Linked DNA regions of Drosophila melanogaster. Changing the gene in region 1 together with any one later gene gives a genetic interaction. Each region holds a gene or a part of one and is shown in the gene's direction. Other genes may lie near its edges.

What was found.
Region 2: of LIMK1 (region 1) and sick, changing one suppresses a phenotype caused by changing the other (phenotypic suppression), as found in Drosophila melanogaster (one study listed by BioGRID).
Region 3: of LIMK1 (region 1) and RhoGAP18B, changing one suppresses a phenotype caused by changing the other (phenotypic suppression), as found in Drosophila melanogaster (one study listed by BioGRID).
Region 4: of LIMK1 (region 1) and SCAR, changing one enhances a phenotype caused by changing the other (phenotypic enhancement), as found in Drosophila melanogaster (one study listed by BioGRID).

Annotation. Positions count from the first base shown.
Region 1 is NC_004354.4:12,588,654-12,595,364, reverse strand, and holds the start of LIMK1 (LIM domain kinase 1), read left to right. Parts: upstream 1-3,171; 5' UTR 3,172-3,434; intron 3,435-4,880; 5' UTR 4,881-4,916; coding exon 4,917-5,524; intron 5,525-5,681; exon of another isoform or gene 5,682-5,782; coding exon of another isoform or gene 5,783-5,841; intron 5,842-6,016; exon of another isoform or gene 6,017-6,043; coding exon 6,044-6,109; intron 6,110-6,197; coding exon 6,198-6,711. Other genes in the region: CG1824 (uncharacterized protein), read left to right, coding at 34-397, 473-1,489, 1,753-2,358, 2,417-2,665. UniProt on the Drosophila melanogaster protein: Protein kinase which regulates actin filament dynamics. Phosphorylates and inactivates the actin binding/depolymerizing factor tsr/cofilin, thereby stabilizing the actin cytoskeleton.
Region 2 is NT_033779.5:19,823,435-19,830,131, forward strand, and holds the start of sick (sickie), read left to right. Parts: upstream 1-3,039; 5' UTR 3,040-3,839; coding exon 3,840-5,444; intron 5,445-6,697.
Region 3 is NC_004354.4:19,154,085-19,160,899, reverse strand, and holds the start of RhoGAP18B (Rho GTPase activating protein at 18B), read left to right. Parts: upstream 1-2,698; 5' UTR 2,699-2,780; intron 2,781-5,898; 5' UTR 5,899-5,946; coding exon 5,947-6,815.
Region 4 is NT_033779.5:10,972,947-10,982,771, forward strand, and holds SCAR (SCAR), read left to right. Parts: upstream 1-3,825; 5' UTR 3,826-4,124; intron 4,125-4,951; 5' UTR 4,952-5,015; coding exon 5,016-5,760; intron 5,761-5,933; coding exon 5,934-6,035; intron 6,036-6,686; coding exon 6,687-6,767; intron 6,768-7,498; coding exon 7,499-8,166; intron 8,167-8,232; coding exon 8,233-8,482; intron 8,483-8,540; coding exon 8,541-8,719; coding exon of another isoform or gene 8,720-8,776; 3' UTR 8,777-9,449; downstream 9,450-9,825. Other genes in the region: CG16743 (uncharacterized protein), read left to right, coding at 1-284; abo (abnormal oocyte), read right to left, coding at 590-1,264, 1,322-2,266; ATPsynG (ATP synthase, subunit G), read right to left, coding at 2,956-3,215, 3,305-3,344; piwi (P-element induced wimpy testis), read right to left, coding at 9,712-9,825.

The DNA of each region.
Region 1 (6,711 bases):
CCTATTATTAACCGCCTATTTCGCTTTGTTTAGTCGCCACCTGCTGCAGCCCACGCAGCAGCCACTGCCACGCCTCCAGAATGCCGCCCGCCTGATGCGCCAACATTTGCGTGGAACGAACGCTCCCCAACCGCCCGCGATACCGCCCACAAATGCCAGCCGCCTGCTGCAGACGACACGCCTGCTTGTGTGGGGCGGTGGTAGTTTAGCTATCGGTCTGGGCGCCCGTTCCTGGTGGGCGGGGCATCGCGGAGCGATCGTTCATTGCGAAGGCAGCCGGCTGGCCATTCGAAAGGAGGAGGAGGAGGAGGACACTGCGTCGGAGCAGCACTTCGACTGGAAGCGTTTGTGGACCTACTTGGAGCCACATCTCTGGGAGCTGATCGGGGCCGTATGCGTGAGTTCTTGGATCACAAAAAGCCCACGAACAGGTGTAGCATTTGTCAAAATATTTAGCTAATTTCATTTGCAGGCCGCCCTGATAGTGGCTTATATCAACATACGCATCCCAAATCTTCTCGGTGACCTGGTAAACACACTGGCCAGATATGCCAACACGTACGTGATGGATCCGATTAACAACTCGTTCGTAAAGGACGTGAGCAAACCGGCCAGCAATCTGCTGAGCCTATACATGCTGCAATCTGGTTTCACCTTTATGTACATCTACCTGTTGAGCCGCGTCGGTGAGCAGATGGCAGCCAAGATGCGGCAGGATCTGTTCACGCAGATTGTCGTCCAGGACATCGCATTCTTCGATGAGAATCGAACGGGCGAGCTGGTCAATCGACTAACCGCCGATGTACAGGACTTCAAGACCTCGTTCAAGCAGTTCGTCTCCCAGGGACTGCGAAGTGCTGCCCAGCTGATTGGCGGCAGTATATCGCTCTTCATGATTTCACCGCACATGGCCGCCATTGCGCTGGCCAGCGTTCCGTGCGTGGTTATGTTCATGACGTATTTGGGCAAGAAACTGCGCTCTCTAAGCAAAAGCTCACAGGCGCAGGCGGAACGAGCGACGGGTGTCTGCGAGGAGGCGCTGTCCAACATCCGAACGGTTAGATCCAGTGCCTGTGAATACCGCGAGATGCAGCTGTTCGAGGCGGAGACCAATGAGGCGGCTCGCCTGGCGCAGAAACTCGGCTACGGCATCGCAATCTTCCAGGGCCTGACCAACTTCTTCCTCAATACACTAGTCCTATCTACGCTCTTTATGGGCGGCCACCTCATGTCTACGGAGAGTCTGTCGCCGGGTGCTCTGATGGCCTTCCTGGTCGCTTCGCAGGGTGTGCAGCGATCCCTTGCCCAGGGATCCATCCTGCTGGGCACCATGATCAGAGGCATGTCGGCCGGCAGTCGAGTCTTCGAGTTCCTATCGCTGCAGCCACAGGTGGAATTGCTGCGCGGCTACATCATCCCGCAGGAGCGGCTGCACGGCGAGATTCGATTCGAGAACGTCTCATTCGCATATCCCATGCAACCCGATCATGTGAGTTGTATTAAAGTATATCTTCATTTCATTCTCGAGACAATGATGGCATATTTACATTAATCGATGCTCTGTAATTTGTAAACTCGCCACTTTTTTATATAATATTGAATAACTTCTTATCGCTTCCGCAAGTAGATAACCATTTTATAATACCCACAAACATTTATGGCCAATATTTACGGCTAAGTGATAAAAAGATTAGAGTCTAGGCAATGCAAACAGTAATGAACTTCCTATGTCAATTTTTGCTTCATTCACAGCTGGTGCTCAAGGACTTTAGCCTGACGCTCCGCCCGGGCCAGACGGTGGCCCTGGTGGGAGCCAGTGGATCGGGCAAGTCGACGATAGCGTCGCTGGTGGAACGCTTCTACGAACCATCGGCGGGCAATATCAAACTGGACGGCTACAAGCTGTCGGACATATCGCCCTATTGGCTGCGGTCCAATGTCCTCGGTTTCATCGAACAGCAGCCGGTGCTGTTTGGCACATCGATATTGGAGAACATCCGATATGGTAAACCAGATGCGGGCGAGGAGGATGTGTATGCGGCAGCGCGTCTATCACAATCGCACGACTTTGTGACCGCCCTGCCCGATGGATATGCGACGCATGTGGGCGAACGGGGCACCCAGTTGAGCGGCGGTCAGCGGCAACGCATCGCCATTGCACGGGCGCTGCTCAAGAATCCGCGCATCCTCATCCTCGACGAGGCGACGAGTGCCTTGGACGCCACCAGCGAGGCGGAAGTGCAGAAGGCACTCGATACAGTGGTCCAGAATCGCACCACTCTGGTGATTGCCCATCGCTTGTCCACGATACGAAACGCTGACCTCATTGTCGTCCTTGATCAGGGACGCGTCGTGGAGGTGAGTTGTCCTAGACCATTGGTATCTTCAGAAATATTTATATTTTCCCTTGTTTTAGACCGGCAAACATGACGAACTGATGGGCAAGCGGGGCCTGTACTTTGAGCTGGTGCGTCAGCAGGAACGACGGGACATCCAGGAGCAAGTCCAGGCGGTGGAGGACGTTGTGGCCGTCAAGGAGCAGCAGGCAACTGCAACAGAAACTTCAACAGCCGCAACAATTGCAACTGCCGCAGAAACTTCCGCAGCAACAGTGACAGTGGGGAGCAGCAGCTTCGGTGGCAGGGCAAACGCAGCGCAAGGATAGTGACGATGTTAGGCAAATTGAATGATTCCCTATACACTTAATTTAATATTCTTATAATGTTTTCACTTTTTTTTTTGTTTTCAACTGACCAAAAACAAAAATGGTGAGAGACGCTAACAATAAGTATACAATAAAATAAACGCTGAAGACAGTATTGTTTTTGTTATAAACAGAAAGTATTTCATTGTCATTATCGCTAAATTCACCGGGTTCATTAAAAATAGATGGGATGCGTGAACTTAAATTAAAGTTTGAAAAACTGAATATAAAACACTTGAAATCCCAATTTCCGTTAAATAATATATTCAATGGGACCGCATTATTTCTACAACCATACTCATATACGGTCACTCGAAGATTAAAGAAAAACTATTTCAATATTCAATTCTGTTCAATATTTCTTGTTAGTGACAAGCAGCGTGTTTATAATAAAAAATTTGTTCATTAAAGAGTTTATATATTTTTTAAGTTGATTGGCAGCTAGACGATAGTTTTGAGATTCTTTAATGACAGTCCTACGGTCACACTGGCTGAATTGTATTTTATTTTGTGTAGTTTTGTTGTTGTTTTGTTTATTATGCATTTCTTTTTTATTGTTTGAGTTAGCGAGCTGTGCGTCGCGTCGGCATTTAAACAAAATCCGCGGCATTTCGGTAGTTGCGATTAATAATTGCTTGGCGGGAATTACAGTCGAATAAGAAATTGGCGAGGAAAAACCAACAAATGTGCAATGTGCGTCAAGTCAATAGCAATACAAACGAACAATTATGTAAGTGTGTGTGTGTGTTTGGTTTAGTTTAGTGTACAAGTCCAGCAAAAAACAATAAAATCTAAGTAAAAAACCAGTTGTTGTTGCTATTGGCTTTGCTAATGTCGTGTTGTTCCCGTTCCCCCACACACATTTTCTAACAGCGCGTGCATGTGTGTGTGTGTGTGTGTGTGTGCAGCACCTGTACGCGTGTGTGTGTGTGCTTCTGCCTCCGCACAGTGGACACATTCCTGAATTTTGGAGTCCAAAAATATGCAAATTGCCTGAGTGAATTAATTGACTTAATTAACAAAAATTGGACCGCAAGTTATGATAACCATAGTTGATTAAACGGAATTAGTTTCTAGCGGGACTAGTGCGACAAATACTCAAACTTACTTGATTTTTTACCATTCGTTCCATTCGTAAACCTAGCTTGTCTTGGCTATTTTATAGACTTCAGTCAGGGTGGCACACCCACTCATTTCCAATCTCTTCAAAGCAAAATCACAGCACTGTGATATGGTTGGTTAAAGTAAAAGTTCAATGGGTTAAGCAGGTGATTAAAGGCACATTAACCCCTAATGGAGCTTGGACTGCACTTAACGCACGGCTCACATGTGACCACTGTGCGCGCGTGCAAGTGTGTGCGTGTGCATTCGTCATTCATTGGTCATGTTTATGCGGTCGGAAGAGGGACGTGCACAACAACTACAGTTAGCTCAGCTGAAGTGCAATTGCGATTGCAGTTGATCCAAAGAGTCGCGTTTGTTGTTGCATCAACCGGAGTTTTCACGGTCAATGTTGAGCTATATCCATAAATACACAAACATTCATGTGTATTTGCATATACATATGTATGTCCATATGCATATATCCATGGATTATGCATGCAAATCGATGATGGAAATCAGGCGGTATAGCGAATTCCGATGGGGGGCAGCTGACTCAGGATCGAAGTCTTTATCACTGAACCCTAAACTAATGACTACCGGACTCAATTATTTTGTTTTGTTCGGTCATTTTGTTTAGTACGCAAAAATATTTACATGGCTATCGCTTTAGCAATAAAGTTCGAATTGCTGTCCCAGTATATCATAAAAAATCACGGAGAGTTTTGAATGCAATTGGTTTTGAAAAATGCCAAACCTTCCTATCATTAACACTTAAATCAGTTAGAAAAACTAATATAATACTATATTAGTTGATAATAAATGCATTTCATGTATGATATCATTGTAGATATCTTTTTTCTCAACGTTAATGATAATGGGTAAAGATAGCTTATTTATAGACCTACATTGCCTATATGATATTTGCTTAGTTTCCACTGGTTCATATCGACCTGTTGACGATAATTGGCCAAGTTCCGTGACTGCTGGTCTATATTTACTATATTTAATACCTATTCCGTCATCGACTAATACCTTTTTTTTAACCTCCCGCCCCCCTGCTCTTTACCCACAGTGCTAACGTGATCGGGCCAAGGCACAAAAACATTCCATGCATCATCAGCAGCGCCTGCGGGCAAATGGCGGACGAGGAGGCACTGGATTGGGCGCAGGATCAGGACCTGTGTCCGGAGGACACTCACCATTGTGCGCCCATTGTCGGGGTCAACTACTGCCACATCCAGAGGAGCCAATCGTGATGGCTCTCGGCCAGCAATGGCACTGCGATTGCTTTCGCTGCTCCGTTTGCGAGGGCCATCTGCATAACTGGTACTTCGAACGGGAGGGCTTACTGTACTGTCGTGAGGATTACTACGGCCGATTCGGCGATGCCTGTCAGCAGTGTATGGCCGTTATCACCGGACCCGTAATGGTCGCCGGCGAGCACAAATTCCATCCGGAGTGCTTCTGCTGCACGGCATGCGGCTCCTTCATCGGCGAGGGCGAATCGTACGCCCTTGTCGAGCGTTCGAAGCTCTATTGTGGCCAGTGCTATGGCAAACGTTCCTGCCAGCCGGCGGATGCGAAGGCGCGGATCACAACGGCCGGCAAGCCGATGCACTCCATCCGTCTGGTCGAGATACCCAAGGACGCCACGCCCGGCCTGAGGGTCGACGGAGTGGCCCTCGACGATGGTTGTCCCACGGTCCGCATTACAGAGTAAGAAATTAACTGAAATTACTATAATTTACATCAATGAACTCATTGAGATGCATGCATTTGCATTATTTATTAACTTTATTGTTACATTTGTTTCTTGTTGTTTTTTTTAAGATCTTTTTCAAAGATCAGATTGTACTCTTTTTTGAACTTCTAAGTTGCCTTTGCGTTTAATGTACATATGTTATACAAACCAAGCCGTCTTCTCACTTTTTACACACAAGTCACAACATTTTTTTTATATGAATTTAAAGAAGAATGTCTTTTTGGTTACATTTTGTACTGAAAAAAATTTTACCATGGCTCAAATCTACGAAGTACGTATTGTGAAATGATAACTATTATTTGATTGTATATAATTTATTGCTTCAATCTGACTCACTTTTGGTTGCCATTTGTTAAAGTTTGCACATTAGCTAACTAGGTCTAGTCCTAATTGCCAACTAATTTCGCTGGGCGTTCGTCCTTCGACTCTTTCTGCATTTCCCTAATACATGCTTGCCCAAAAAAAAAAAATAGCTTGTTCTGTAACTTCTTCTTGTGGCTAACCTCGATGGCGGAACAGTGCTGTGGGGCGCCTTATAGGTAACAAATGTGCCTGAGTTGAATTAAAAGCAACAACTAAGCTAGTAGTAACACTTTGCTAATTATTGATTTATTTCCTATTATCCAGAATTGATGTGAATCTTACAAATCTGCATATTGGAGATAGGATATTGGAGGTGAACGGCACACCAGTTAGTGATTCGTCCGTGGAACAGATCGACAAATTGATACGGAGTAATGAGAAGATGCTTCAGCTGACCGTGGAGCATGATCCGGTGCAAGTGTGCCGCTCCTGCAGCCAAGCGGACATCCAGCGGGCCATGTCAGCGTCCACGTTAATCCTGCCGCTCAGCACATCGGCCTCCAGTGTCGAGGTGGGCAGGGAGCGTCTGTACAAGACACCCGGCGAACAGGGCACGAAGGCCAGGAAACTGCGACAAGCCACCAATGCCTCTACGACAATACCACCGGCAGCTGGAGCCACCGCAATGACGCAACTAAAGGAGAAGGAGCGTTGTTCCAGTCTGTCCAAGTTGCTGGATGAACAGCATCAGGCACAACAGCATTCGGCGCATCCTCAGCTCTATGATCTGTCCAGGACGCAATCCTGCCGTGTCGTCCAAAAGCCACAACGAATCTTT
Region 2 (6,697 bases), on another chromosome or scaffold:
ATGCTCGCTGGTAGTCCTACTATAAATATTAATATTTTTCCATCCTATTTCGATAGCAGCTGATGCTTATAAATATGCCCTTGATAAATATTTATAATTTTTGCTTGAATTAACGCAAGGTCATTAAAATTCCGCTAATGTCTACTGAATTTCTAAGGGTGTACGAAGCCAAAGAAAAATCTTGTTTTCATTTCCTCGGTTAGTTTGTTTTTTTTTTTTCGTTTCCTTTGGTTTTCCCCACCATAAATTGTCTATTGCTGTCATACTTTTAGGCATTTAATAAATTTTATGACTTTTTTCGCCGGGAGGAGGGAAAATGAGTGGGTGGAGGGCGGCAGGGGGGGTTTGCTGTTTTAGCGTTGCTCTGCTTTCCTTTTTTTAATAACATTCGACGCGGTCCCCGCTGCTTTTCCGCTTTTCCTCGTGTTCGCCGTTGTCCGCCTAGGGATACATTCGCCTGTCTCCAGAATCCCTCTTCCGACTCTTTCCATCCACTTCCACTTCTTCGGATTGCAAATACGGGTATTTATACCTCCGCTCCTGCTTTCCGCTTCCAGTTGCTCCCCGAAGTGTGCAACAATCTTTTATATGAGTTTATTATGTATGCTTTTGCTTGAAACACACAATTTCCTCAAGCGATTTCCGTTTTGCCCCACCCGATGGGTCTTATTAAATTGCCCCACACCCTTCGCGCTCTTCATTATCCACCAACTGGCTCGTTAAGTAACGAAAATATGATGACTGCCTGCAAATTGCGCTTTAATTGAATTGCACATAGATTCTGATTTAGTTTTATACATATTTTTTTGTGCCCTCAAGCTGGAGCGGAAGTTGTGCGTTGTTTTTGTGGTCCTTTGCCACGCCTACCACGCCCCAACTTGCGGCGCAACTCAAAAGTCCTTAGAAGTGTTTCAAACTGTCATACGCATTGTAGTTGGCTCTTTTTATTCCCTTTTTACTTTTTTCGGTACGGCCTTTGCACTTTATTTATGCCCTGTAATTTAAAATTTCCATATGGAGTTTGGCCAAGAATTTACTGAATTATATGAATTTATACCTACCCTTTAAAATTCTCTCAATGTTTGTTAGAATTTTCGCCAAATATATTTGTTTTGATGCAATTTTCAAATGAAATCTAGTGGATAGAGTATCTAGAAGTCACACAAAAGGCGTACTTATGAGTTTTTTCTGGCAAACCTCAGCATACTTATACTTCTCTTCTTTGTTTGAATAACGTTTTGGGTTCTGGTTGGGCTTTTTGGTGCAATAAGAGCAACTGAAGGATGGAAAGAAAAGCGTGCACTTTTCAAAAGTGGGCTTTTGTGTGGAAAGCGAGTCGAGGGGCTGGGATTCTGGTCAACTCACTAGCAAATCAAAAGCATTTCTAACCAACTTGCCAGCGAAGTTTGCACAGCGTGTTGGGCGCAGAAAGCGGCGCTAAAAGAACTCAGATTGAGTGCAAATAAAATGATGTCATGAAGTGGGTGGGCGGGCTAAAAGGCACGGAATGCATGCTCCACTTTATTTCAGCTATCAACTCGTAAAGTTTGCGGCTTGATGGCCTCCGGCAAAACGTCGGGTTTTCCCAGTGGGTGGAAATCTGTTCTTTTTTTCAGAGCTGCAGAGCTGAAAGAGACCACGGCAAAACTGCAATTACAAGTTGGAAGAGGAGGACTCAACTCAATGCGCAAATCTTGACAAGTATTTTGTCAACTTTGACTGCTGCCAGCTGGAAGCAAAGGCAGATGAAGTGCGAGCAACTTCAACCTCAAAGCAAAAGTGTTTAACTTTAAGTCCTGCCTTCTGCCTTTCTCTTCGGGGTCCTTTCATTTTTTTCCTTTTTGCCCCCATTTCGTCCCCATTTCACGGAATCGTCATGGAAACTGAAAGTGTCAGGGATTAGGTGATGCTGGAGTAGAGAGCCACTATCCACGTGGCTTTCAGGGGGATTTTAAGCCCAGGGGAATGGACGCAGACAAGGATTGTGTGGCCTTATAGGAGTTAAACATTTAATACGTGTACTGCCCAGTTATAAAAGTATAGATTCAACTGATTAGAGCACATTTGTAGAATAGATTTTAACATTTCTGCTTCTTTAACTACAATCGTAATGGTGATGTAAAGAAAAACTGTGTTGTTCCTAGAAGATGGATTACCAATTGCATTTAATCTGGGAAGTAAGTCAAACTGGAATTTTATATTATTTGCATTTATCACCATTTCATTAGCATACTTTGCTAATCTGGATAAATCAACCTTGGGCTTGAGTGCTGCCCAACAGCCCTCCCCTTTTCAGCTGCCTACTTTGACACTAATTAACTTGATTCAGTATTCGAGACTACTGCCATTGCCTACTGCCATCTGCAATTCAATTAAAAATTAACATTTTAATTGCAAATTACTTTCAGTATACTTTATGGGACGCAGGCACAGACACCGGCAGAGAAACTCCACTTAACTGGAGTAACTTCTTTCGCCTCTGCCACCTGCAGCCTGCCATTTCCGGAAACGGAAGTAGCAGGATGAAGAGGAAGAAGAAGAGGAGCCATTGGAACATCGGCTCATTGCGAGGCGTTTAATTCTATCATGCGCCAACAATTATGCAACTTGTTGGTTCACTGACTCAAATGGCCAGGCGGTTTTCAATTTGTTGCCAATAAAACTTTTTCCATTTCGGTTTCCTCTCAGTTGTTGCCACGTTGGCCTGGCGAAAAATGTTCGTCATAGTTTTGTTTTGTGAGTGGGCTGAAATAAAGGAAATTAAAAGTTCATTGCTGGTTTTCCGAGTGGAAACAATGCTGGGATAATCTCGATTTGGCGAACATGCTGTTCTTTGGCATTGTTCATTATTTGTTATATCTATTTGGATTACTCACATTTACTCTACGAATCTCAGCAAGTGTAATGGAAAAGATACCTGTACGTGAGTGATGAACCATTCCTTTGTTCACTTCGCTTTCCACTTAATAAATTCATGGATCCATTTGCTGTCAATTTGTTATTGATATCTCCGTTATGTCTGCATTTTTGCGACCGGGGGGAAACTGAAGGAGAAATGAAACTTAATCAAATGTGAAACTCTAGCGAGCACTTGATATGCATTTTCGTATTGAATTTCCCTTCCAGCTTCTATCGCACAATCGCTTTTATTCGAAAATTGCACGAACAAAATAATACCTGTGCTGTTTGCCGGAAGCTGAAGAAAAATGTATGTGAATGCTTTTCGGTTTTTTCAATTTAAAGCATTTAAGTTGCAAATATATATGTATCCACCTCTGCGGCTTCAATGCACAAATTCAAGTTAAAACCGCATGTGCAGTACTTTAATTGTATTATTGTTCACCATTTATCGCAATCCCTGCAGCGTTGGCTTCCTGTTAATTGCTTTGTAGACAAATTATAAAAAGCTCGACTTTGGCATTGTTTCGGCGGCATTCTGGAACACTTCAAAAGCAGACGAAACCACGGCGTAACCATGACCATGACTATGACTCTTTGCCCGCAAAAACAACCTAGAAACGTATAACTCTTTTTTTTCCCCCGACCAGCTGGGTCAGTTTTAATTTAACTTTGACATGCATCAGCTAAAAAATCCAATTACAAACACAAATGTAAACAGAGATAGTAGAGAGAGAGAGAGAGAGGACATGGAAAAAGGACCTTATTTTTTTTGGTCGAAAGACTAGAAAACCCATTAACGCGTTTTTGCCCTCCATAAAGATGAAGATTTATAAAGCCATTAATTTGGCCCAAGCGGCGAAAAAATGTATACAAAATTTGTGAGTGAGTGTGTGAGTGAAAAGTGCTGAGCCCATGGAAGCTGCAGTGAAACCCTAGAAATGTCCAGTCAGGCAGGAAAACTGCGTCCGGGTTCCTCAACCAAGCCCGATCGCAATGCGAATGAGGAGAACCAACTGGGCGCCAAGCCCAAGAGCCAAAGAACGGACAATCATCATCAGAATCAACCGAAGATGTTGCCACATCCCAACTACATGGAACTGGAGTTCCTTGCCACGGATCCCACGGCATCGGCGCAGAGTACGGCCTATCCGGACTTACCAGTTAGCTATGCCACCTGTTTGGTGGGTCCACCACCGTACAGGGATCCGCTGCCTCCCACACCACCGCCCCTCTCCCAAATGCCATCGAGGCTGCTCCACTCGGCCCCCAATACGCCCAGTCGTGGCAAGGTGGTGCTCAGCAAGAAGGAGCGCAAGGAGCTCAGCAAGCAGCTGGGAATCGACGAATCCTCGATCCTGAGCAGCAGTGCCCAGTCGAGTCCCTACAAAGGACGTGTGAGTGAGCTGAAGAACTGCATAGCTCGTGGCCTGTTTGCCACCCTTCATAGGGGCTCACAGAAGTCGCTGCAGCAGCAGGAGGAAAGGCCCATCAGTCAGGAGATATCCCCGCCTCCTCCAGCTCCAGAATCAGCCAATAATAATGAAGATGTGGCGGATTACTCCGAAAAGCTAAGGAATCTACCAGTGAGACAGCGCAAGGCTGCCACCTCGCACATGGAGAACTACTGTCTCTTTGATCCCGTGGACTTTATCAACGAGAAAGCCATGAGATATCCCAGTACTCAAGCCCACGGATTGAGGGATCCCCTTTTCAGCTCAAGACAGCACTTGGTCTGCGAGGATGAAGATGAACTGGTGCCAGAAGTAATATACGATAACGAGGAGCTCGAGTTGGAGGAGACTATTATCATAGAGACTTCAGCTATGCCAGAAGCGGAATCAGAAGCAGAACCGACTGCCAAAAATTCAGAGACCATGTCTAGTTTTGATCACCACAACTACTTTATTATAGACCCAGCGAACTTTCCCATGGACATCGGCATACCTAATCCCTATACCAACGAGCAGCTGGTGAATGCCAAGTTGGAGCAACAGAACCTGGAGAAGCTCTTCAACGAACTGGAGAACACTGCCAGCATGTCGAACAGCCAGGAGTCCAAAGATACGGAGACCACATCCACGGCCCTCGTAGAATCATCCACCTCAACGAACTCAGCAAGTTCCGCGGGCAGCTGTTCCCTGGCCAATCCCGCCCAGCAATCGATGAAGAAAAAGCTGACATTTCTGAATCTTTCGCCCTTTCGCAGTGGCAAAAAGTCTATCGACAAAAATACTTCTGAGCAGCAACGTGCCATTTCCGAGCTGGTCAGCACGGATCACATGTTGCACCTGCAACAGTTGTTGCAGCAACAGCGAAAGGATCAGCGTTCGCACACGGTTCCAACGGAGTCCAACTATGTGCTCTTCAACCCGGGCCCAGTGCCTAGTCGACATGTCCAGTACAAGATACGCAAACCACGACCTCTATCAACCCACAGCGATGCGGATAGTGGTTTCCTATCGCCCTGCTCCCCCGAAGAAATGCGTGCGAATCCGGCCATTTTGGTGCTTCAGCAGTGCGACAGTGTTCAGGGATATATGGAGGTAAGTCTGTGAATATTTAATGATATAAATATATAAAATATCACCATGACATACAAAAAGAAGAAGCTTAATAGAAGCATCTGTTAGGTTAATGGAGAAAAAAACCGAAAACCTAAACCACTTCTTATTTTAAACAGAACTTTTGTGCTTCAGCTTACAAAGTAAAATTCAATTTTTATCCAGACATTTTTCGAAGACTTTCAAGAAGAAAGAAAACCTTTTCCCAAAAAATACAAATCATTTATCTTTGTTAGCTTTGATGGCTTGTCCTGACAAAAGGGAACTTTATTATTACCTATGCAAATCTGGGTTTTAATGCTAAGATGCAGCCCGAAAAGTGCCACAATAATGTTCAGCTCGGTGGGGCTCACCAGCAAATGGCTTATTTTGGTGAAGCTCTTATGACCCTCTCAATATTGCAGTGCATGTGGCTAGGTTTCATACATTTCCTACATAATCCTCTTACCGTAATGTGAATCGCCGCATTAACCATTGGAAGGAACCCCACGCAGCATCTTATCTATATGGATAATTTCGCATATCTTAAGCCGGTAATCATTGCGGGCTGTTTCCGTAGTCGCACTTGTCGCCATTTGCCGGCTCACTTATCTTAACGAGCGAGCAACTTAACAAGTCTTATTATGCATCTTCAAACACCCCAGGGGAGGTGTTGGCTTACCCCTCGAAGGACCATTTTCGGAAAAACCCACCCGCAAAGGCGATGAACAAATGTCACCCCCAACGGCCGAGTCCTCGAGTATAAATTATCAAAAAAAGAGAAGAACGAGTCACGGAATTGCAGTTTGGAGGCAGTGCACTGCAGATGATTCCCAAAATCGAGGGCTTTTGAGAGCAGTTCCTGCTGGATTGCATCTGGCTTTCCCATTTTCCCCCGCCCTTCGCTCTTCGCTCTTGTTTTCCTCGTTGCCTCGGGGGAGCAATCAATCGTCGCGTTTTCACTGCTCGCTTCATTAGTTTTCCCTACCGCCAAACATTAGTTTGATTGTGTGCCCAAGTGAGGGACAGGTTGCAAGAGAAGAGAAAAGCAAAACCCAGAAGGAAACAACAAAAACACACACCAGCTGCGAATGTATGTTCAATCTTAGCGACTTTTAATGGAATTGAATTAAAATTGTTGCCATGGTGCCGAGTTGAAAGTGTGTGTACTTACACCCCTACTGGCCCACATAAGCTATTCGCCCTTCCCAATTTTCCGTGCCACAGGCATTTCCCATCATTTGCAAATTGAAATA
Region 3 (6,815 bases), 6.6 Mb from region 1:
GAAATAGCATTTTTTTTTAATCTTTTGCAAATTATTTGAGAATGAAGTTTTCTGCATTTTCAGAAACCAACTGAAAATATTAAAAATTAAAATTATTATTAAAATACACTTTATTTATGCACACTATTAGATATTATTATACATTTAGGATATACTACACATTTAAGATTAGATAAAATTGTATAGAATCTCTCCGCTTATCATAACTGCATATTGAGGCTTATTATATACACATTGAAATATTGAAATGCACTTGTTACTCGAATCCATCGGGTTTTTACTGTCGGATCTCGACAACACTGAGTTGCAGTCGCTGCCAACTCATTACCGACGGAAACATAATGCTGCCAAAGACGCGAGTCTGGTTCTGGACAGGGATGTGGATGTGGATGTGAGTGGGGACGGGGCTGTGGATTTGGTTGGGACATGGACGGGACTTGGACAGGGCCATCAGCCATCAACCATCATCCACGGGCCATGAGCCGTGGGCCACCCCTTTTAATTCTTCGTTTGTTTTTTTTTTTCGGGAAAAGAAGGCGGCCGAGGAACCCGCAGAAAAGCCAAACCAAATATGAGTCGGGGCAAAAAAAAAAAAAAAAGATGGAAACTGAAAGCGAAAACATGAGAAATATGTTCTTCAGGAATTAATTTACCAAGCACTGCGAATGTTAAATGCCCTACTCCGAGATATAATTCATAATTTATTAGCCGAATAAATATATATTAAATATATTTGGGTTTCAATTTATGCACTTAAAACTCATATGTGGTGGCGTGCTTTAAGATAGATATTAAATCTATAGTGTAAATCCCACACTTAGTCAACCCTAGAAAACCCTATGATTTATTGGTATATTCCTGCATATACACATACATACATAAAAGTACATATGTATGTATGTAGGGTAGCCGATAGCAAACAGTTGAATGCAATGTTGGTCACAGCCTGAATGCATTTCTTTATTTCGGTATGTGTGCGTATTTGTTGTTTTGTATCCGCATCTGTATTTGTATTTGTATTCGTATCTGGTGGATACATTTGATGCCGTCGGCAGCGAAGCCAACAACAACAATTGTGTTCATTGTGCTTAATTAATTTAGTTCAAAGATCAAGCGACCATATTGCTGAACATCGGCTGCAATGCGATTCTTCGCCGGCCTCTGCTCATTTTCATTTTTATTTTCATTTTCATTTTTATTTTTATTTTCATTCTCAGTCTCACTCTCATTCGCCTATTTTTTAAGTCTCTTCCCCGGAATTGTTGTTTTTTCCCCAAAGATGCATCCTCATCTTTTCTTTCTCTATTTGCTCCCGGTTCTGTTTTATATGGATTCCGATTTTTGTAAATATCGGTCGTGTACTATATGGATCTTCAAAACATGATTGCGAGCAGTATTATGAGGAACAGGATTATGAGGATTGGTTTCAAAATTCAATAAGAAATAAGAGAGCTTACGGTTCGTGCTGAAAGTGCAGTTCTCATTTTCATATCGGAATTGCTTGCAATAAAGTGTTGAGCAAAAGTATGTATGTACATATGTATATGCATATCGTAATCGGTTTACGCAACTGTTGTGCATAAATTGAACAGTGTTTAGCATTCATCATGGTTACTTACACAGCTCGATCCACCCGCCCAGCACCGCCCCCTCTGCGGTCCCAGAACCGACCCCAGCCCCCCCCTTTTTTTGCACCCCCTACTCCCAACTCAGCCGAACTGAAAAACAAACTCCCAACCCTCGACAGCACCCCCCCCCCCTTTACCACCCTCCTTCAGGGACCGCACTCGATATGCTTAATTAGGCAACGGGCGTTGAGTATAAAAAGCGTCTTTTGTCGCTGCCACGCCCCACCCTTACCCTCTCACCCCCTCATTAGCCCATGCCACCCCCAACCCTTACACACACACGCACATTCGTGAATGTGGTGGCGCACAGCCAGACAGAGCCACACATGTTGCCCATGTTCCATTACACACATGTGGTTCGGTTTCAGTTCAGTTTTAGGTTTGTTCTGCTCTGCGCTGTTCTGTTCTGTTCTGGGCTTTTGCCTCCCCATCACTGATCTCTGGCCCACACTGGTCAGCATGACATGGGTACGAAGGATAGTTTCAAGCTCGGTTGACATGAGTCATAGTTTCACCGATGATGAATCACAGCTCATAATGGTCCATAGTCATGGTCATAATAATGATCCATAGACTTTGCCTATAAAAGTAAATAACTGTAAGAAATGTATTAGACAAGGCAAGAATTTCTATTGAATCTTATATTAATTTAAAAAGTTTTATTCTAAAGAAACTTATTGATGATATAATTTTGTAAGGCTGGCATATATAGTTAGCATTTATAGTTTTTAAAAATACTGATATATCCTGTAATATATGTATTATATTTCATTTGAATATCTGAAATATTTGAAATTACCCGCTTATAATTCCCAACTTGCTTTTTCATCGGAAGCAACAAAATTTTGTTGCGGGCTTTGGGGGTTAGTGCCCACTTTTGCTGACTAGTGTGGAGTGCTCGAGTTCCCTGGGTGACCGGAGGTCGGCATCGCCATAGCCATAGCCACCGCCACCGACTCGTGGCGTCGACTGCGACTGCGACTGCGACTGCGCGGCGACTGCGACGTCAATCGCTTACGAGGCGGACCGCCACCCAAGAAAATTCTCGGCGGCATCTTGAGTTCAATTTCAGTTGATATTCTGTTAAATTCGCGAACGCGTCGCGCCTGCAGCTCCCGATTTGATGGAGAGCCCCACCTCAAGCCCAATTTCGTAATGCTCCCATTTAAAGCTCGGCTTATCAGTGCTGGCCAAAATCGGTGCTTTTTGTTTTGGTGCTCGGGTTTCGGTATTGAAGCCCACCAAGTGCCTCGATCGATCTACAATAGTTTTAATAATAAAACAGTGCATTTGGGGAAATTGGAGAGAAAGTGAGATAAGCGCTGCGAGATAACGGGACCAATCCCGTTTTATTTGTTCCTTCCTTTCGCCCATAATATGGGTGTGTGTGCTCATGTGTTTCTTGTGAATTACAGTATATTGCTTTTACAATGGCATTCATCGTCATTTATTCATTTGTCGCGCCATCTGAAAATGAACGGCGATGAATCATCGGCATAGGCAAATCAGCGGATTACCCACAATCCACACTGATTGCATTGCTGTCTCCTTGGGGGCTGCACAATTTGGACAGGTTTTATTGACGGGGTCAAGAAGGTCTCGATCGAATGCCCAAAAGTATGCAAGTTTATCACCAAGGCGCCCGAAAAACCAAAGTTTTGCGGTTTTGTTTTTTTTGTATTTGAGGAATCAAACTATAAACTGTGTATTTTGCCAGTGTTTGAAGTTAAACTTAGTTAATTGGGTTCAACAAAATATATATCATAATCATATTAAAAAATATAATATTCAATTGGTTGTGCTACAGCTATTTTTATAGCTATTTATAACGAAACGGATTTTCTGAATGAAAATTTTTAAAAAAGTATATGAATTCGGTATCAATATATTTTTTCTATGCTATTGCTGCATTTTGGTGATTCGTATCAGTACATAAAAACATTTTATTAATGAAATTTTAACACTTTAAAGTGAATCGCAAGCATTTCTTAAGTCATGAAGGATTTGAAATATATACTTTCAAAATTTCCAAAATGAACAACAAGCCCAGTGATGTCAGGCTTCTAAATAGTTTATTCACTTATTTATTAATAACTATGCTTCAGAACCTTCAGACCCTAGGGATTCAATTTAAGAATTGTTTATTTTGTAGAAAGCTAATTAGTTCAGAGAAATGCTCCTAATGAGACCACAACAATTATATTAGTGAAAACACAGTCAATCAGTTATGAAGAATTCCACAAGCCTTTTGTTTGCTATTAAAATTCAAATAGTTTGGAACAATTAAGTGTATGGCTCTTTGTTAAATTATTTCTCGGATTGTTAATATATCACGCAAGTAATTAATCAAGATTTTCTATTTAAATAAATTCGGTTTCTGTATAATTTGTGTGTTTTTTATCAGAGAAATGAATATCTTATAGAATGTTCTGTAAAATTATCTTTTAAAGGACAACCCAAACATGATTATAAAGAATTGAAAATTAATAATACAGGTTATTGTCCAAGCAAACAAGACAACCATTGACCATTGACCCTGATTCTAGACCAAAGTATGATTAACAACACCGTGAAAACGCTTTTACCTACCAACCAACCAACATTTGTGGTACCTAACGATCCAAATCTGTTGTATTTTGAAATATGGTGGTAGGCTACTCTCGACTGGATTTGAATCAGTTTTATTTAAATGACGCTGTAACAACAATTGGTGGTGTTGGAGAATGCGAAACATGTTTTAAGCACCTAAAACCCCTAACCGGTTTCCCCTTTCCGCCCCAAGCCGATTATGATTAATGGCGGCGATCCTAGATCAAAGAATTACGAATAATACGAAGCCCCCGAAGAAGATTTCAAGATCTACCATCGAGATAAACATGATTTCCCCACTTACGCCGATCGAAAGATTAATGCACGGACCCTCGTTTCTTGGCACCTTAACTCCATTAGGCTCACTCTCGCCTTCCGTTCGGGATAACTGTGCACTTGAAAAAAAAAGATAGAATATACATATATTAATATATGTAAAATGAAATTTTGCATATTTCCGTTTTGGTTTTTCAGTAAGAAGGAATTGTAGAATTCTTGTAATATTTTAAATTCCCAAAATCAGTGGCTACTATTTTTTGCCAGTGTGAACTGAGCACATTCCATATTCCACACACCATGTTCCACATTCCATCTACCTGGCGGCACCTGTGAGGCGTAGGTGAGGAAGTCGACGATCGTTACACAATTCTCGACTGGCCGCCAACCTGTTTCTGTTTCTCCGGGGTTTTCTCTGGGGTTTCTCGCCCCTCTCCGCTCTCTTCACCCAGTCATGGCCATCATTTTGAGTCCGAGGGATAAGGACGGGGGTTACGAGAGGACCGACATGGTTTGGTGGATCGGTTAGTGACTCATCTCCGTATATCAACGAAAAACAAAGCTCAAAAGCAGAAGCAGCACTGTGGAATTCTAGTCAGATGAAATGCATTGGGGTTTTTTTTACTTTAAACATTATTTGCATTTAAGCATCAAATGTTTTAGGGCAAACAAACAATTCATTTTAGAGCTCTAAACTGATTAGTGATAAGTGCTCTGGATCTTTTTGGGCGTGAAATATACAGAGATATTGGGTCTAGTTACACATATATTGAATACAGCAATGGGTTCCAATAATATTTTATCAAAATAGCTAATATATGTAAATATTAGAAGAAATGGTAAAGAAATTCACGATAACAGGGTCATATTATTAAAAGCTGTTTGCAATTAGATTCGAAAAATTCATCCTTTAAATTCCCAGATTTAAAAAAAGTCAAGCCAAAGAATTGTGTTTTGAAGGCAAAGCCGATGGTTTGGAGGAAAACTGAGTGCAGAGTGCAGCGACTTTGGCTGAGATAATGAATATCGCTGATTGCAGTCGGAAGCGGGAGGGAAAGAGACAGAAAGAAAGAAAATGAGGGTAGTGGCATCACTTAAAGAGTTCAAGCCCATTGACTTTTCTCAGTGATTACACTGCGAGAACTAAGGTCGTTTTTGGGGTGTTTCTCAAAAAATAATAGTGAGTAATCGAAGATTACAAGTTATTCAATTCACTCGAGTGAGAAATTTAAGAAGAGCCATTCGAGCATTTCCAAATCGAATTTATGTTAATTAAATACCTTCGCGACATTTCTTTTGCGGTGCACGAAATTCTCTCGATGACAGTGCTCTCACTTACTATCTCTCCAATTGCCCCGCTCGGCGATTATTTTCTCACTTAATAATGAATTACGATGTGACGCAGCGGCGATAAGAGAAAGTAGGGAGGCAGAAGAAGAAATAAAGAAGAGAGATGCCACAGCAGGCGAAGGACATTAACGATAACGTCGGCATGGAGGCGCACATCTACGAGAATCTGCCGGGCCTGACCTCCACCCCCAAAGGTCACCTGAATGCGGAGCTGCGCAAGTATTTTCCGCGCGAGGCGATCTACGAGAATCTTTGTCGGGGTTGCGGCTACGGCGTGTTTGCCGCCCAAGGACGCTACTGCCATTTCTGCCAGTGCATCGTGAGCGGGGGCGTGGTGAGTACACCGCCTCCCCCACCGCCACCGCCCCTTTCGACGATTTCCGGCGAGAGCAGCAACATCTATGAGAACATCTGCGATTTGTGCCGCGGCATTTATAGCGACAACGAGCGGTGCCGGTGTCAAAGGTCAGAGACGCCAGCCAAAGCGCCCGCACCGTCCACACCAACCACACCGCCCACACCACCCACCAAGGTCAAGTCGCGGTCGCTCTTGGGCTACTCCAAGTCCAGTGCGGCGACCTTGACCCGTCTCTTTGGCTCTCTTAAGCAGCTGAACCGTTCGTCGTCGCTGCAGCGCAGGATATTCCCGAGGACACCCACGACTGGCAGTAGCAGCGCTGGCTCCCTGGAGATCATCCACAACGTGGACGAGGTGTTCCGCACCCAGGAGACCTTTGACCTCCAGCGCATTTGCGAACTCAAGCTAGAGCAGCAGCAACTGAAGGGCAGCCAAAGCGATCAGCACATCTACGGCCGCGTAAGAGAGCCCGAAGAGAGCCAGAGCCACAAGAGAGAGCGCAAGAGGCCGCGCGTCTCTCGCATTCGCCTGCTGCAGGACGAAAGCACATCAGGATCCTCATCATTGTATCTCAACGAGAGCATCTGCCAGTGGATGACCTCCCTGAGGCGGCA
Region 4 (9,825 bases), on another chromosome or scaffold:
CACCACCACCACCGCCACACCCGCAACAAGCTCCGCCACCATCAATGTATCCACCCGACCCGTCCGGATATCCAGGCGGCTATCCACCGCAGGGGGCTCCCGGACAGAATCCAGTTAACAACCCAAATGCGATCCCCAATCAGCCTCAGGCACAGCAGCCTGCCAGCGGCCCGGGATCAGGGCCTGCCCCGAACTATCCTCCAGGCGGCTCGAGCGTTATTAATCATTCCCTTAAGGTCAACAAGGAATACAACGAGGACGGTCACCACCAATCTTCAACGTAGTCGCAGTCGAGATACAATGTTACATGAAACTTTAAACGTCGGATTGGGCCTCAAGTTTCAAGTCGGCCTTCAATACAATGTAGCAAAGTCGAATTAAAGATTTAAACAGTACTTGGAATTTTCACAATTTTCACAGTCTTTGATTAAATAAAAGAAAGAAATGTTCTCTTACCATTGTAAATAAAGACATTACTGAAAAGGTAAAACGAGATATTTTAGTATCACATATATTTCATAATATAAAAGGTACTTGAATATGTTTTATACACAAATGTACAAAATCATGTATGTACATATTAGGCAGTCTACTTTTCCACTATTGTGCTGTGGTTATACAAGTGCACGTGGTAGACGTAGCTGTTCATGCATTTCTGGATACTGAGCACTAGTGGGTCAAAGGGATGCCAAATAAAGGCGCACAATTCCCGTGGCGCCAAAGGATTTAAATGCCGGCGGGCCGTAGCGTGCAGTCTAAACTTGATTGAATCCGTGGCACGGTCAAGAAACACAATAGGATCGTTGCAGCAGCGATGGGGTTGCTCCAGAGGAGACACGTACCGACTGTCGTATCTAAATTCGTTGAACTTTAGATAGGGCGACGAGGAAAGGCTCTGGGAGCTGAGTGGAACGCTGGGGTTGAAGCGCAAGGCCGTATGTCGATCGACGGAGACCGATTCATTGGAATCCGCAAAGGTATGCCTTAGGAAAAAATGCATGGGCAATGAAGGTGCATCACCGAATTGCAGCGATCGATCATTGCTCATGTAGTCATTGAATTGCAGTAAGATTTGCAGCAGGTTGACGGAATATTCCGGATAAACGCCAACCACTTCTTCGCCAGTTATGGTGTAGAATACATACAAGCGGCGCGGTGATGTAGCCATGGGCATGGTATCGGTACCATTTGGCCGCTCTTCATAGCGCAACATTAGAAGTTCATTGTTCACCAGATGCATTCTCTCCATGATCATGTGTTCTATCTAAATGAGATATGTAAGGATGTGAAGACCGTTGTCACTCTTTATAATGTTACTTACATACTCAAAGTTTTTATAAAACGACTTCTGACTTTCCGTCGGGTTGCCACTTTTATCATTAATTTTACGGTACAGAAAGCTAAGGACGCGCTGTTTAATGTGCGTTATGGGCAAAACTGTGGTGGCGTCAAGATTGTCAAAGTCTGTGGTAGCCTTCTCGATAAAGTCCCTCGGCCTGGGACCAATAGTCTCCTGCTGGTGGAACTTACCGTCATTCACCCAATAGACGTAAACGCACTGATGCAGCCGGGACATCATCATCACTGTTGAGCCAAACACGGAAATTCCATGATTGTGGGCAATGACGATGGAGTCGTTAGGCAGGATAAGTCTATCTGTGACGACGCCTAGCTTCAAATCCACCAGAAAGAACACATACGAGAAGGCGTCCACTTTGTCGAACAGATCTGGGTACCGTACGTAGTCATCGACCGGCAGTGCGCCGCGCACAACGGTCATGGCAGCCAGCATGGCATAACGACCCTCTTCCAGGAACACACTGAACTCCCGGTGCAGATAGTAGAGGCCAAAGTCGCCTTGGCATAGATTCAGCGTCTCTTTTGTGGGAAACAGGCGTTCAAAGATCCTGCTCTTGAGTATGGTGTCCTGGCTACTGAAGCACTCGCCACTGCCTACATCCGCCTGGCGAATCAGTTCACCCACCGCCGCACAACTAGAACCCCCGTAGCTGTATATGAGCAGACTGCGCTGATCCTGCGAGAAGGCCAACAGTTTTCTGCCATCCGGCGTAAACTTGCGCAGGTAGATCGGCGGAATGGTAATCGAGTCAATTGTCAGGCAAGGCGTGATGCACTTGTAGAAGAGACGCTCGTAGGCCAACAGCGGCATCCTGCCCGGCTGTTGGCCCACGTTGGTGTATCCGGACTCGCGGTTCTGCAGCAGATGCACGAGGTTCTGCGATTGTAGGCGCTTCTTGTAGGCCATTCTGACAGATCCTGGGAAAGTTCTGCCAAGTTCCTATTCCTAATGTCAGCCGGGTTCTTCTTCCGATCGGAAGGTAACTAAAGTAAAGTGTGACCGCAGTTAGATTACAAAAATTTACTCTGTCTACAAAAGTTTTGTTGTTAAAAAATATAAGTATAATAATAATAATATTAATGCTTTTCAAGATTCAAATAAAAAACGTTATTTATAAATAAAATAATTCAATACATCTTACTTTACTTTGTTTAAAAAAATGTGTAAATGAATTATCTATGAAAAGCAAATTTAGATTTATTTATTTTTTTTTTTAAATAAAATTATTCTTGAGTGCTTTTAAATGCTCTAAGTATATTATGTATTTCTGAACCATTAGCCTCTTTGATTACGACACCGTTTCATAAACATTTGATGTATAACATTACATATATTTTTTTAATTTTTATCATTAAATATCGTCAACTTTTAATTCCAAACTTGGTTTTACATCACCTCATCTTTAGCTTACACAAATCCCGCGCAAACGTTCTAACGGTTTTCAAAAAACAATGTATTTTTCGAAAATTTTCGGAATTTTAAATTACTATTTCACTTTATTCAGAGTCGAAATGTTCGCAGACATATAAATATACACATCTGTTAGGGATTACGTTGCCCATTCCAGTGACTGCCAAGCGGAGACTATAGTAAGCTTAGACATTGTAGCCTACAATGTGACGCTTGCCGATGCACTCGCCGATGTAGAACCAGAAGATGACCTCGGCGGTCACCAGGGTGTTAAGCCAGGCCTCGCGAACCGTGAGGTTCTTGTAGGCGCCGGTCTTGGCTCCCTTGATGATGTTGCCCAGTCCTTGGCGAATGGCCGGAATATCGGCGGGCGTCGGGGGCGTCAGTTCCACCTTGGCGTACTTCAGGAACACGTCCAGTTGGGGCCTCGCCTGTGTGAGGAGCCCTGCAAAAAGTGATCATTACATAATTTTGCGATTGACAGGCGCCAATGGTGGTGTATCCATTCGATTGCATTCGATTCACGACACTCACTGTTCACAAGTCCTGATCCCTTGGTAGCCAAACTCGCCATCTTTTCAATTTGGTTCTGCAAGCAGTTGGAATTATACAAGAGGAAATCAACGAAATGTGCGGAAAACTTACCTATTCAGTGTGCGACGAAACAGAGATGTTATGCATTGGGGCCAGGGCTGGAGCACTAGTTATCGATCGGCGGATAAATACCAAAAATACCAAATATACATTTCTAAAGTTAATGGAAGAAACTGCAAACAGTAATTTTAAATAACGTTAATAAAATAGCTTATTATGGATAATATAGAGTTAAAATAAAATAAAATAAATTGAATATATATTTATATTTAAAATATTTCATTCTATACAGTAAATAAACAATATGAAATGAGTTACTGAAAATTCCCTTGCAAAATTTATTTAAATATAGTAATTAAAATACATATTACATTTAATATAAAAATAACTTTTTCCCCACCGCATCGTGCAGTATATTTGTCTGATTTTCCGAAATGATGAATCCCTGCAGTATTTTCGAACCACAAAGCTTCGGTCACACTGCAAAGGTGTGGAAATCTTAGTTTCCACAAAACGAGCAAATATTTGCAGTTTTCAAGCCCCAAATTGGCTAATTAGAGTTCGCATCGGATCGAATTTGCCACCGAACCCCCGAAACGGAAGTGGCTGCTTAATGTTTGTTGTGGTGCCAGCCGCCAAACGAAAAGTGTGACGGGCGGTGAGTGTACGATATGCTGTAAAGTGAGGTGGACTGTGTAAAACTAAGCTGCGCCGTTCAAAACCAAAATCAAAATCGCAGCAGCCACTACGATTAGAAAGTGTGAGAGATACCTTTGTGTGTGCATTGTTGCGATTTAGTGCGAATGTTTCAGTGCGAAAATCTGAAAGAGTCAGCCGTTCCGTCCCACACATATGTATGTACATTTACTTGGGTGCTGCTGCTGCTGCGGTTCATGCGTGTGTGTGAGTGCGTGACGGTCTAATTTGCGTTGGTGGGAGGCCGCCGACGATATACGTATATGCACGTATGGAATAGGTGCCCACGTAAAGGCCCCAGGTCGTAGCACCCAGAAACTGCCACCGAAAAGGGGGGCATTATCGACTAATCTCGCCGGGACTGCAAGGTGCATCTTGCGGGGGTGACTTGGGCGTTACGCCCTTATCACCTCGCTGTGGGTATCGTTTCGTGGGGTGTGGTCCAGACGTCGAGTTCGTCAGTCGCGCATATCACAAAACAATTCAAATGGCATTTTGGTGATTGTAATGAACACGTCTCATGGATACATGGATAAGCGTCTCGTGAAATCTTCTGCAATACCATTCTGAGTCTTGTTCATAGACGGTTTAGTATAGTGATGACAAAATTTCTTTTAAACCAATTTTGATAGTATCCAATTAACTTTTTAAACGTCTACTTTTACGGGAAAATTTATAAACAAAGTTAAACGACAATTTGGGAAGTACAATTTTATCGGAATGAAATGTCTTCAATTGATAATCAGCATAAAAAGAAATCTTTTTATTATTGATCCCAATTTGGCATGAGATTATGTAGTAAATCAGTAAATAAAGGGTTTTATATTTAATTAATTTTAAATGCATTAATTCGTATTAAAACAATTTATTACTTATTAATGCCGTTTTCAGTCGATGAGGACGCACTAATTTACGGGTTTGCCAATTTGGAGATAATTGTCAATCGCGCCCGACCATGCCGCTGCCCAAACGATCCATAGAACCCGTGCATGTGGCCCGCTCCGTGTATCAGCAGGATGAGCTGCAATCCGTGGAGCTGGAGACGGTCACCAACACCACGCTGACGAACATCATTCGCCAGCTGTCCTCGCTGTCCAAGCACGCAGAGGATGTGTTCGGTGAACTGGCCCGCGACGTGGGCAACATCGGGGATCGAGCTAACTCCCTGCAGGCGCGCATCGATCGCCTAGCTATCAAAGTTACCCAGCTGGACAGCACAGTTGAGGAGGTGCCCTTGACGGACATTACCCGAAAGAAGGCCTTCAAGTCGGCCAAGGTTTTTGATCAACAGATCTTCTCGCGCGCCACCATGCCGGCACCAATGATGGACACATATGCCCAGTGCGACAAACCGCCGCCCCTCGACAAGCTTAATGTCTATCGAGACGATGGCAAGGATGGTCTTAAGTTCTACACGGATCCGAACTACTTCTTTGAGTTGTGGCGACAGGAGATGCTGAAGGATACCGAACGTGTGATGCACGACAAGGGCAAGAAGCTGAACAGACCGCGGCAGGATGGCGGTGCCGGCGGAGCTGCTGGACGTGGCAATAAGAAACAGAAGACCAAAATAAGGGTGCCGCACAATACGCGCGAACAGCAGCGACAACGTGCACTGGTGCACGGCGAAACATTGATGCCCAACAACGTCATCTACCGCACACCGAATTCCATGGTCAACGAAGAAGCCGGATACGGAAGTAAGTACTTGGCGAAAGGGATTGGTCTCCGTGTGAGCCAAGTATTCAGTGCGAACCAAATTCATAGGCTGTTATTGGTACGTTCGTTTCGCGCACTGACTATTTGCACTTGTCTTGCCTATTGAATGGTACATCTATTTTAATTATCAATTATGTCCTGTCTGCCCGTGTAGTTCAGCTAGTCAAAATACAGACTGTGGGCGAGGCTGACATCGATTTGCGGCATAGCACTCTCGATGCGCACCACCAAGTTGTCGGTAATATCCAAGACGTAGGTACGATGATGGGGCCACGTAGCTTTCATTTCCGCCCGGCAGACATCCCACGATACAGATGTACCCGCCATTCATTCACCTACTTCACTCAAAAGCTCGCTAGTTTTCGATGCGCCTCAAAACCCAGTTCGAAGATCACTAATTTGTATTATTTTGAAGTTGCTATTAATTGAAATTAACCCACACAATCATGACCCAGAGAAAGGTGACCGAAACAAAGTTTCCAGAGCTTAAAAAATAAATGAAATGGTACTTAACATAAATTCCATCTAAAGTTTGATTAAAATCTCAGATACAGGATATATTCGATCTAATTCATTATTATTACACCATTAGCAAAATGGTCTATGGCCAGTCTAGTTCATCCTCCTGTAAGTTAGCAAGACTTTCGAACTTGATTTGTCTCTAATTTGAATTCACTGACTTTGTTCCAATGAAGTTCGTCTTGTTGATGGTAAATACAATACGGTCAGAGAACCTTACAATTTCATTCTCCGAATGGTCGATTATTTTTCGCAGCTTTTATTTATTTGCATGTTGTTTTTATGAACTACTCTTTCGTTGTTTTCGGTTATGATATTAATGAACGTGAACATAAATATGCATTGCAATTACGAATGGATCAATCGCGCATAACCATCTCATTTACAGATACAGTAAAGCCTTATAATATGCTTTCGCATTTGGAGAATAACAGTAATGTCACCAAGCAAACCGCCGTTGCGATTGCAGGTTAGACATCCACATCCACTTTTAGCAAGCTCAGTAAAGACTATATATGTTCTTTCACTCGCTTCTATCCCCATATTACCTTACTAGCAATCCTTTTTGAGTTCCTTTAGCATTTGTGTGTACAGAGAACACTCTCTTTTTCAAACTATCAATCGGAATGGCGATGATTTATGAGTTTCATTGGTCATGCAAAGTGCAGATTTATTATCTCAAAACACTGTAAACTAGTCACCTTCTAACTTGCAATTTTAATGTAATGTGTGTGCACATTATATTTACAATGCATCTTGCATTTTGCATAATACTTTAATTCATTTCATACTCGCGATTCGTGATTGAGCCGCAGTTTTTGTTTAGGATCCTCCTATCTTTCTGTTGTAGTTCAGTCAATTTCCATATCTACGTCTACATGTCACTCTGCAGCTTTACTAATTCCTTTCTGTCGCCACATCTTATTCTACGAAAGTATCTCTAAATTGTTTTCTGTGCAACGAGCTAACAAAGACTTTTAATCGGATGTTTGTATATTCAACAAAATTTCTATTCGAGTCCAGCGGTCTCATATGCACAGAAATTTGGAATTGCTTGTAATTACATATGTGTCTTATTGTTCCTCGGCTGTAATTACAAAATAATTGGCGTGTTTTTAAATGAGATGTGTGTCCTGTAAAAACGTTCATTTTAATGGGTGGTTAGTCAACGGCTCTAATATCTCACATTCATTATTCTAGATATGGGAGTGTACGATACACGTCCGCCACGTCCTAACTCGATCGAATTGAACCGAAGCTATCAGTCGGAGCAGATCGATGGTAGCACCTACGAGCAGCTTCCACCGCAGATGGGTAATCAGTATGCTGCCACCTTCGGCAACGGCATGGGTGGCCCCCAGCAGATGCACATGCAGCATCAGCAGATGTATGACGCCGGAATGTATCAGTCGCATGCGCTGTACGGCCAAACTGGACAGGGAGTGATGTCGCCGGAGCCCATCTACGGACCGGGAACACCGTCGCGTAACAAACCGCGTCCGTCGCAGCCGCCACCGGCTCCGCCATCGAATGGCAGCGGTGGTGGTACGCCCACAGCCTCCAATGCCAACACTCCGACAAGGGGCAGAAGTATGTCGACCAGTCGGGATGCCTTGCCACCGCCTCCACCAGTTCCAGACGTCATTTCACCAATGTCTGGCATGAACGGAGTCAACAGCGGGCATATGGCGGCCAAACTGCTTGGCCGGGCGAACAGTTCGTCGGGAGCTGGATCTCCCAACAGCGTCCAGAATGCCAATGATATGGTCATGACGCAACTGAGCAATACTTTCCACAGCATCGGTATGACGGGCAATCAACTGAACTCCCTTAGCGACTTGCCGCCACCGCCGCCGGTTCCAGATCAGGTTTGTTGTTCACTGATGGGTGTTAATATATCACAATTTGGTTTAATTTGTGGCAAAACCTTACAGCACTCGCCTAAGATGTCGCCACCTAATGCCGCGCCACCACCGCCGCCGCCACCGCCTCCAGTCGAGGAAGGCATGGGCAGTGGCAACCAACACACGCTGCGCCCGCATCAAATTCTTCCCAAATCACTGGCCAATGGCGAAATGCAGCAGCCCGGCCAACAAAATGGTGTGCCTCACATTGTCGCACCCAAGAAGATGCTGCCTCCATTCCATGACCCACGCAACGACTTGATGAAGGCCATTCGAGATGGTAAGTAATTGCCATTCAAGGTTCGAATGCAAAAATATCATCAAATTAATCTTTCCAGGTATTACTCTACGTAAAGTTGAAAAGTCAGAGCAAAAGGAAATTGAACGAAACGCGGCGCCATTGGATGTGGCTTCAATCTTGGCCAGACGTGTGGCTATCGAATTATCCGAGTCCGAGGATTCGGATAGCGAAGACGACAGCGAGGGCTGGATGGAACCGAACGAAACATCGGCTTGATCCCTGATTAACTCGTTAAAGCCTGACATAATTCTAAAAAACAAAAAGAAGAAGTAATTCCAAAGAGAATTAATCCATACGATGGTCGAAACCAAGCGTGGTATGAAATTGGATTACACAAAAGCACCAAAGCTTTTCTACCACCCTTTATACAATATACACCTAATCCTAAATAATATGTCTAAAATCAAAAGTTTCATTGAATTGTATATACACCAACGAGTAATTATCGTTAAATTAATCGCTATAGTGAACGAACGCATTTGCATTTTAAGCCTAGACGACAATCCAAGGAAAGCGATTTAAAAGACTTGCTAATTTTGTTCGCTTCTTTGGAGTCAAGGTCTGAGTAGATATGGGCTTCTGTATCATAGTAGTCGGTGTTTGGATATTAAATTATAAATAATCGATATTATCACTGAACTCAATCCTACCCCAACTTGCAATCGATACGATTAATATAAAACATTTATCCAAAATGAAAATTTAGAATTTTGTAAATACAAACACATTAAAATATATCGAACTCCGTAGCATTTCAGTATACTCAACAAGCTATGAAATTGTATTATCCTTGTGAAAGTTAAATACCTGTATAATTAATAAAATATGTTTCACGAATATAAGCAGCCATGAATGTGTGGTTAAGTAAGCAAACATGGATGTATGTAATTTTTCTTTACATAAACTAAAATATACAATAAAAAATAAAGTAATTATATTCCAAATTAATGAACATGTCTTGATAGATAACTTTAAATGTTTGTTTGGGAATTTCCTCTGGTCTTATGCTTAAATACCAGAATCTTAATCCTCAATTTTGCTTTTGTTTGAAAAAAGAGCAGTAATGCATTTCAAATACAAAATATTTAGTCATAAATGCTGAAGTGCTTAGCAAAAGTAAGAAAGTATTGAAAAAGTATAAATGTCTGGGCTAGTTTCATATATGGCCTCTTAGTAAGGATTAATACTCCATTCTAAATTATATCCAATTATAGATAATAAAACTTCTTTTCGAGCGCGTTTTGCGGAATAGAGTGCAAGTTCGTACCCACGAGGGTAGCTAGCTTCTTAGCGTACTGGCAAACTGCTGGCACTCGTGTGGT